Linked DNA regions of Bombyx mori. The protein of the gene in region 1 interacts with the protein of each later gene in a biochemical or structural test. Links are inferred from orthologs where the notes say so. Each region holds a gene or a part of one and is shown on either strand. Other genes may lie near its edges. The genes, in order: E3 ubiquitin-protein ligase MARCHF6 and ubiquitin-conjugating enzyme E2 G2.

The links.
Region 2: the proteins of E3 ubiquitin-protein ligase MARCHF6 (region 1) and ubiquitin-conjugating enzyme E2 G2 form a complex in vitro, tested with the Homo sapiens proteins (2 studies listed by BioGRID). The link is inferred for Bombyx mori from reciprocal best matches to the Homo sapiens genes MARCHF6 and UBE2G2.

The regions. Positions count from the first base shown.
Region 1 is NC_085117.1:16,844,544-16,849,116, forward strand, and holds the start of E3 ubiquitin-protein ligase MARCHF6, read right to left. Parts: upstream 2,913-4,573; 5' UTR 2,651-2,912; coding exon 1,574-2,650; intron 954-1,573; coding exon 702-953; intron 410-701; coding exon 209-409; intron 1-208. UniProt on the Homo sapiens protein: Endoplasmic reticulum membrane-associated E3 ubiquitin ligase that plays a critical role in mitigating endoplasmic reticulum stress, the regulation of cholesterol and lipid homeostasis, and ferroptosis.
Region 2 is NC_085107.1:15,234,842-15,239,409, forward strand, and holds the start of ubiquitin-conjugating enzyme E2 G2, read left to right. Parts: upstream 1-1,561; 5' UTR 1,562-1,953; coding exon 1,954-1,999; intron 2,000-2,069; coding exon 2,070-2,151; intron 2,152-2,316; coding exon 2,317-2,435; intron 2,436-4,568. UniProt on the Homo sapiens protein: Accepts ubiquitin from the E1 complex and catalyzes its covalent attachment to other proteins. In vitro catalyzes 'Lys-48'-linked polyubiquitination. Involved in endoplasmic reticulum-associated degradation (ERAD).

The DNA.
Region 1 (4,573 bases):
ACCTTGTTCTAATGAATGTATGCAATTTAAATGGCATACTTCCTTCGACTTATTAAGTATATGACATAATGTGGTTAATGATATTATTCCTATTTGTTTCAAAATGTTTCTAATTACTGAAAATAATTAGTCACCATATTTATTTAAACCTCCTTAAAACATTACACTGAAAACATATCATTTATCATACAACATATTTAAATCTTACCTGAAGCAGAAGAAGTTCCAAACTTAATTCATTGACTGGGGCTTCTGAATGAACGGAGACAGTGTATGGCAGGAAACCGGGCAGCACATATTTAATGACCCTTATTGGCATCCAAAGCATGAATAGTACTGCCGAGCCAAAGATCATGGCTGACAACACCAGCCTTCTGATGTGACACATGACAGACAAGTGAATCATTTCCTAAAAAATATTGTCAAATTAACTTTTGCATTATGTAGTACTTTTTTTTGTATTGTGCACATTTTGTCTTATTTGCAATTTGTGAAAACTGAAACCTAATAATAAGCAATGATCTGAACATTTTTAATTTGTATATGAATACTTGAACCTGAGTTCGAAATCAAACTCTCAAACAAATCAAACGAGAAAGTATCAATCAAGCTATTTCAAGAGCATTTCAGGATAATTTTATGATACAATTCATTATAGAATGTTTTGATACTTTGAATTTGCTAAAATTGGAATAACAAACCTGCACTGGACTGAAATCAGGATCGTTCAGATTCTTCAAGAACCATAACACTCCCGGTCTCAGCACTTCCCTTAGTAACAGCACAAATGACGCAAAGTAGTACACATAGACCATTCCGACAAGCCAATGTATAAACATCAATGTCCAGGGAGCCGCCTGAAGGCTTGATTCGCGGTCTTTGAGTGTCGCATCAAACATGGAGAGAGAACAGAGATCCAACCACCATCCACATATTAGAGGGATCACACCTATCTGCAAAGTAAGAAATATGCAAACGTTAATTCAGAATTTTCCTACGGGCAGGATGTACAGGCTGCATGAAGAGGTATCACCATCCTGTCATGTGCTCCTGTTTGAAAGATGGAACAGCTATTCTAACTATGCTTTCTGTATCAAAGTTAAAAGTCACAAATTTATGTTATCTATGAGCTTCTGATTTATGCCTAGTGCTTATAATATATTTTCTCACCTGCAACAATGAAAACGATCACGCTTACTTTTCAATTGTGCATATAATATGCATACTCAAAACAGCTCAGTTAATGATATTGTTAATGACATGATGATTATATCTGCTGTTTAACAACTTAACTTAAAACTCCTAGACTAAAAAAAGCATATTATTATAAAATTTTCCATTTTCAACTGTCTATATTGGCTGTGAGTGATGTTATTATGGTTCATTGGCCTTAATAAAAACAATAGGATAATATTTAATGAGTAAATAACAATAACCGTATTACTACACTCAAGTTGTATTTGGCAGTCAATTGATATCTTTTTTGAAAGATAAAAATCTAAAAACACATTTGGAAATGTAATTTTAATTTAGTTATCAATAATTTATATCATAATTATAGCTGCAAGTTTACCTCCATGACTGAAAGCAGTGCAACTTTGACTACAACGTAGCAGAATCCTAGTGCTTTCTTGGCACTCCTTAGCCGAAACAGAGCAGCTAAGCCATGAAGTACGGCAAGTATTGCACCAACTAACACATAGCCAGCCAGTGCTGTCAAAGGTCCAGCATAAGGACCTTCTGTTGCTAATCCTGCTAAGGCAGCCCCAAGTCGTCCTATGTGATAAGGACAGAATGCAAACACCACTATAAACAGAGTGTTGAGGGATACCACCCAAAACACATGCTCTAGAAAGACCATGGACCCATCAAGACCTAATAGTCGGGCCCATGTCAATTCTTCAGCAGCAGCTCTATCCCATTCCATTGGATTCCAATTCGCTTCATCGCCCACTAATGGTTCTTCACCACCTCCTTCACCATTACCGTTACCAACTCCATTACCTTCTTCACGAGCTCCACCGTCATCCCCTCCAACTTCATTAACTCTTTCATTATTATTCTCAGGCTGTACAAAATCCTCTGGTGGGGGAACTGGTATATTTTCTCTTTCCATCCAGTCTGGACCTCCACCGTGCATTATTTGTTCTCTCAACCACACAAGTCCAATAAAAGAGAAAAGTGTACATGTCACAATAAAACATCCTGAGAAAACATCTTTGGCAAGATTCTCAGCAGAAACAATCTCAAATGGTAAGGAAATAACTGGTCCCAGGGAGCCTGAGAACAAGCACCTATATGTCCTGCAAGCCGTAAGCGGTACGATACCGAGCCAGGCTAAAGCCACCAGGGTGTAATGGAGCCAGTCCTTTACGGCTGACGCAACGGACATCACCAGGCCGCCCACTACATCGCGGATAGGCAGCCTGCGAGGCATGTCCGGAGAATATATCGGCATAAAAGAAAAGCGATGTCCGCAAAGCTCGCAGATTTCCTTCCGAGAGTATCTCATCCATTGCACTAAGCATTCCTGATGGATCCATTTAATCGAACCGGTACAGATGCAAGGGTGGAATAAAGGCCGATCCGACGTTGCCTCCGAGCGACAAAACCGGCAGAAGTCGGCGCCGGACGAGTCCGAGTCCATCATTATCTATTATCCAGTTTGTAGACTTGATCAACACTGTCGAATAACAAAATCTGGTGCTTGGAATTCTTCTATAAAGATATTTATTGAGTTTGTAACTAATAGTTATGACACCACACAGAGCGAAACCCTGCTCTAAAACAACACAAAACACAAATTGACGACACTTTTTATCGAAGATAGAAAAACTTGTAAGTAGGTAGGTAGGTACCGAACATATTACATTTTCTCTTTGTTTGACAGCAGCAACCAGTGCTGCCAATTTCAGAAAACATTTTGGACATGGAAAACTCAATGCTTTCTTGTGGATTATAACAATTTCACACAAATAATATTAATTTTTGTAAATTAAAAAATAGATGAAATTCAGTTTTTCTATAAGACAACTCTTGTGGTCAAGGCACAAGAGAGCAACTACTCGTAATGCGGCAAATTGTCGAAAAGGCCAGAGAATTTAATATTACCCTATATGTGTGCTTCGTGGATTTCCGAAAAGCTTTTGATACCGTCAAGTGGTGGAAGCTGTGGTTGGTACTGACGGAAATGGGTGTACCGCAACATCTTGTACACACCATCAGATGTCTGTACGAAGATGGCACGGCCGCTGTTCGTGTTGATGGTATTGACTCCGAACGCTTCAGCACACAGGCAGGCGTTAAGCAGGGCTGCATACTATCTCCTCTTTTATTTAATATATACACAGAGTATATAATGCGCATAGTTCTTGAAGATTGGGATAAAGGAAAATCCGTTGGTGGTCGGAAAATATCAAACTTGAGATACGCCGATGATACTACCCTCTTGGCGTCAACCAGAAACGAAATCGAGGTGCTTCTTCGCCGGCTGGAGACCACAGCGTTGGATTTTGGACTTGCGATCAATCGTGATAAGACCAAAATGATGATCGTAGATCGTGCTAACATCAACCAACCGGAAGTCCAACATATAGCGGGATGCGAGGTAGTTAATAGTTATGTATATCTAGGCTCCACTATCACCAACGGAGGCTGCGAAGATGAGATCCGAAAACGTTGCGCCGTGACAAGATCCTCAGTTGAGAGGCTAACAAAGATTTGGAGAGACCGCAGAATAACCAAAAACACAAAAGTTCGGTTAATGAGATGCCTGGTCTTTCAATCTTTCTGTATGGGGCTGAGACGTAGACGCTGAGGATGTAAGACCGTCGTAAGATTGACGCACTAGAAATGTGGTGTTGGAGACGTCTCCTCAGAATTCCGTGGACCGCGCACCATACCAACATTTTGATCCTGAAAGAGCTCAACATCAAGGAGAGACTATCGTCAACAGTCCAAATACGAATCCTCAAGTTCTTCGGGCACATCACTCGTAATGAGGACTCCATTTGAGTGGTTGGTGGTGCAAGGGAAAGTCGAGGGCAAAAGATCTCGCGGACGATCTCCAACACGATGGACCGACCATACAAAATCTTTGACTCGCTCCAACATAAATGATTGCTCTCACTCTGCGAAACATCGTGCCACATGGCGTCGCATCGCGAGAGAATCGGTATCGCAGGATCCGACTGATGCATGACCACGACCACTCTGTCAAGAGTTTCCTATTCGTGAAGAAGAATAAGACAACTAAAATCAGCCTTATTAATATTTTAAGTAATTGATTGTTGCAAACAGTATCTATCTAGAAATAGTTCTTAATGCTCAACATCCAATGATCCTCGTGATAAATATGCCAAAGCTCTCGCGATAAAAATATACAAAAATGATATTAATCTTTATGATTTCTTTTACATTATATGAAACATACGAGAAAAACATTGTAAATGATTGAAAACAAAATGTTTAGCTTTATGGACTTTTTTTTTTTTTTTCCACAGGAGAAAATCGCCGGATCCCCACCCGCACGGCAGGTGAGGTATGTGGGAGTCGAACCTCACTAAAAACTCCT
Region 2 (4,568 bases), on another chromosome or scaffold:
AGTTTTTCAATTTTTTTTATTGATGATCACTTTGTTGGTGCAACTAAATAAATAAATAAATTAAAACTATATATAAAAATAAAAGTAGTGCCAACCCTAGCAAATTTCTCATTTCGTCCCAATTAACCGCAATTTTCGGGTAAATAGGGATTACACCTATTTTTGCATTTTTTGCTTAAACTGGAATGCTAGTTGCATAATTTTAAATTAGACAACAAAGATGCCCCCAAGACTCAATCATTTTGATCCTGATATAGCATTATATACATCAACAACTACCTTAAAATTGCTCATAAAGTTGGAATTTGTCCCGAATCGCCCCATTTTACGGTACACAATGTAAATAAATTTGATTTTCCTGAAGTAACAATCTAAGGCGAAGACAACCATAGACTAAATAAAGATATTAAGCTCTTAATTAATTGCCTTTATAAATATGCACATGATGGCGTCGCGAAGCAATCCAAAAACGTGAGATTTTTATTGTCTTACATTGAATGTACATATATAACGCAAATGACATTGGTAATGTTTTTGCGTAATAATTTTCATTAAGTTAAAGTGATGGTCTTAGAAGTCACCAACACTGTTGTTGTTATAGTTCTAGGGTACCCTGCTGGTACAAAGGGCCATCACAAGCTGTCTCCACTTGACCCTGTCTTGCGCTTGCTCCTTGATATCACTCAAGGTCATACCGGCAGTCCTCGTTCTCTACGGTGCGTCAATAAGTATACTTAGGCGACCAGGTTTTCTCCTGCCACGGGTTGCCACTCAAACACGATTGATGCTGCGTTGACTCCGCTGCGCTGTAGAGCGTATCCTATCTATGCACGTAGCCATTTCCAGTGGGCAATGTCTTGCGCTATGGGGGTTTTTTGACATTTTTAGTCCAGAGGTCTTTATTAAAAATAGTGAAAATAGTGACTAGCCAGAATATGGAGAGTATCGACCTCAAGCACCTATTTATGAAACCAATGGTAATATGTAATATTATAAAACAGAACCTACTTATCTCTATTTTCGATAGCAATTTCCTTAAGAACAGTTGTTGTAGGTTGATAATACTGAGGACGATATCGTTATTTTTTAATTTTTACCGTCACCCAATGAACATAAAAATAAAAGATCGTTGATGAATAAAAAGTCACGATGACAATCTTTAGGACTTTGTTTACAAATACAAATATTTGAATAATATATTATTTCTTACCGAGTAGTATAAAAGTGTATCCGATTCAAGTATCTTCTTCTCATTTCAGTATAGAAATCGGATTCTTTTTAAATCATTGTAGCTAACGTCGAATTTATATTTTCTTCAACTTTTATTAATCTTATACAAATTTTTATGAAAATTGAAAGAGGGCACAATGAATTGATGTGCCTTATCAGGTTTTTCCAAGCAGTTAACTGAAGTATTAATAAATTCTAACACTTTGTCCCTTTTTAGGGAAATTATTTCATCAATTACGTCTAATGGTTTTATCTAATAAACATGGCATCATCCTTCAGTTGCAAACAGCTAGGTTGTTTGTGATTGTTTCCTTTGCCGGTATATTAGAATATTCCAACGATAAAATCTGAATTCTGATGACAGAGTCAGACAAATCAGAGGGAAGTCAAAAACAGGGTACAATACTTTGACTTCGTATTTTTAACCAGATTAAGTTTCCATTGAAATACGTTAACAATTCATCAAATAAAAACCCCAGTTTAATCCCAGAAAAAAAAAGAACGATAAGACAAGTATAAATAGTACTTTGAATAATTTCACTGGGCATTAAAGCGTTCTCTGTCGTCCTCATTAACTGCATTGGATTACATTAACTGTTAACTTTATTCTCGCAAACTGAGATCATTCCGTGCAGTATATTGGTTATTCAGTGTGCTCTCGAACGCCACTGAGTAAATTTTTGGCCCCAACGTACCATTTTGTCATTCAAAATTACGGACCAAATGATGGCTGGTTCTGCATTGCGGAGGTTGATGGCAGAATATAAGCGTATGTAAAAAGTAATATTTTTTTTGCATTCATGTAAATGTACGTAATTCTAATAGCTTTACAATTTCAGAATTAACAGTAAATCCGCCGGAAGGTATTATAGCTGGGCCTATAAATGAAGATAACTTCTTCGAATGGGAAGCCTTCATAACGTAAGTAAATAAACATATTTTCAGTAGTATACTTTATATTTCAGCTCTGATATCTTTCCGTTGGTATAATTTAAGTCTAAATTACCTAACAAATGTATATACTGGTGTTTTTACAATTTAATTTTCTTTGAAAAAAAATGCTGCTTTATTTATTATTTATTACAGAGGTCCTGAAGGCACGTGTTTTGAAGGTGGCATTTTTCCAGCAAAATTAGTCTTCCCACCTGATTATCCATTGAGTCCTCCAAAGATGCAATTTTTGTGTGAAATGTTTCATCCGAACAGTTAAGTATGCAAAGAGATGTCAATGAATATTTAGATTAATATTTTAATAACGATTAATATTTAGATAACGATTAATATTTAGATAATTTATATTACATACCTTAGGTATTGGAATATAAAAACAATAATGAAGTTATTATGACTAGTTTTACAGTTGAATTTCACATTTTTTATTGTCATTTGTTTCTGATATTTCAAATATTTTACAGTTTTTGTGGTCTAAGACGACTATGGTGTTACTTATCAATATTGGAATATTGTGGTTATGATATTTGGTGCTTATCTAACTCCTGGGATCCTTTTAGCGTTAAGATGAAAACCTAAGTCAAACAAACTGCCAAATCTGGAAATACTATTACAGTCAAAATCTGTTATAACGACATCGAAGGGACTGCTCATATTCAGTCGTAAAAACCGATAGTCGTAACAACCGGTAATGTTTAATGTGTATCGTGCAAGTACAAACAAATCGATAGGGAATTATTGGAAAAATATATTTACAAAATACGCGATTTTTCTTCAATATTAATTTGTTTTCTTTTTCTTTGCGACATTTTGAAAGTTTCACGAATAACTCCACAAAGTTTTGGTGCGTTTTGTGTATAGATAAGTAATAAACTAACTGTAGAGATATGAAGAAGCGGTTTTTGACCTACTGCATGCACGTGTTTTGTTTCTAAGAATTAGAAAAGACCCTACACTAAACTAAATCCTATTGTTTTCTTTCCTGATTTTAATAGCCATTGAAGACAAATGTGGATACCTATTCAAATTGTTTACAATACAGCTTAGCCGGTCGTTCTAACAGATCTAATTCTCCGAAATATTAGTTAAATGTGGTCGTTTTATGAGGTATGTCGTTATAAGCAATGTTGTATAAAGCAATGTTTTTAATAAGGCGGTCATATGGCATTCAGCGGGGACCTTTGTTCTAGGTTGTTATAACCAGCATGTTGTTCTAAACAATGTCGCCGTAAACGGTTTTGACTGTAGTTCATTTTGTGTGAAGTCAAATCTAAAAGTCTAGAAATATTTTTTATAGATAAAATAGTTGTTACTATAATATTCAAAATCAACAAATAACACCTTGGTCATCTGTAAACACAAACACAAGATTAAACAGAAATAAATAGTCTTAATTAAGTCTACAACTTGTAGTAACTAAAGAAACAAGTAGTGATTATGAATAGTAATTTGCTAGGCCATACAGCCTTAACTCAAAATTATTTTAAGTAGGCATTCTCTGATGCCTTTAAATGGTTAAGACTAATATTATGAGCCTGATCCAAAATTTACTATCACATCTGAAAAGAAGTGTTAAGTTAAGTGGTTGGCTTTCTATGCATTCTGTTCCTTGCCAGAAAAAAATTACATATTATTATATGAATATGTAAATATAATAAAATTCAACACTACTTGGTTTTACCATTCACATTTTCTTTACAGGCTGTAAAATCATCCCTATTAAAGTATTTTTAATTTTAAAACCTCTAAAGTATAAAGGCAAAAAAAAGCCTTTGGGTTTTTTGTTATAATAGGTTATACCTTGCTCAAAGAATAAAGAAATATTTGGACATTTGTAATGCTTGCGTACATTATTAAAATGACTAATAAAGTATTCCATAATCCAGAATATAAGTAATTCATATAATAATAACTGATCAAATTTGACTTTGACTCACTGGTGCGGTAGTTAGCAGTCCTTACTGTTGCACCAAGGGTTGTGGGTTTGATTCCCACATCGGGCAAACATTCGTGTGATGGAGAGGTTTGTTTGTTCTTTTTCTGGGTGGTTATTATCTATATATGTATATATTTAAATGTACCTAAGTATTTATGTCAATTTCTGGTACCCATACCATGGGGAATCCTAATTTTGGGCCAGATGACTGTTCGTGATATATTCCCAGTTATATATTTATTTATTCCTCTGCAATGTAAGGTCTTCTGCATAGTATGAATGACCTGCCCTCTGTAACATCCTCTGAGACAAGTTTGACAAGGTTTTTGCTATCTGGACTCGCTAATCTCAAAATTTCAGTATCTGAATTGTCACAACTATAATGTGGTCTTAAATTGATTTTATAAGCATAGCACACTCCATGATTCTTTAAGTGACTTGCATTCTAGTG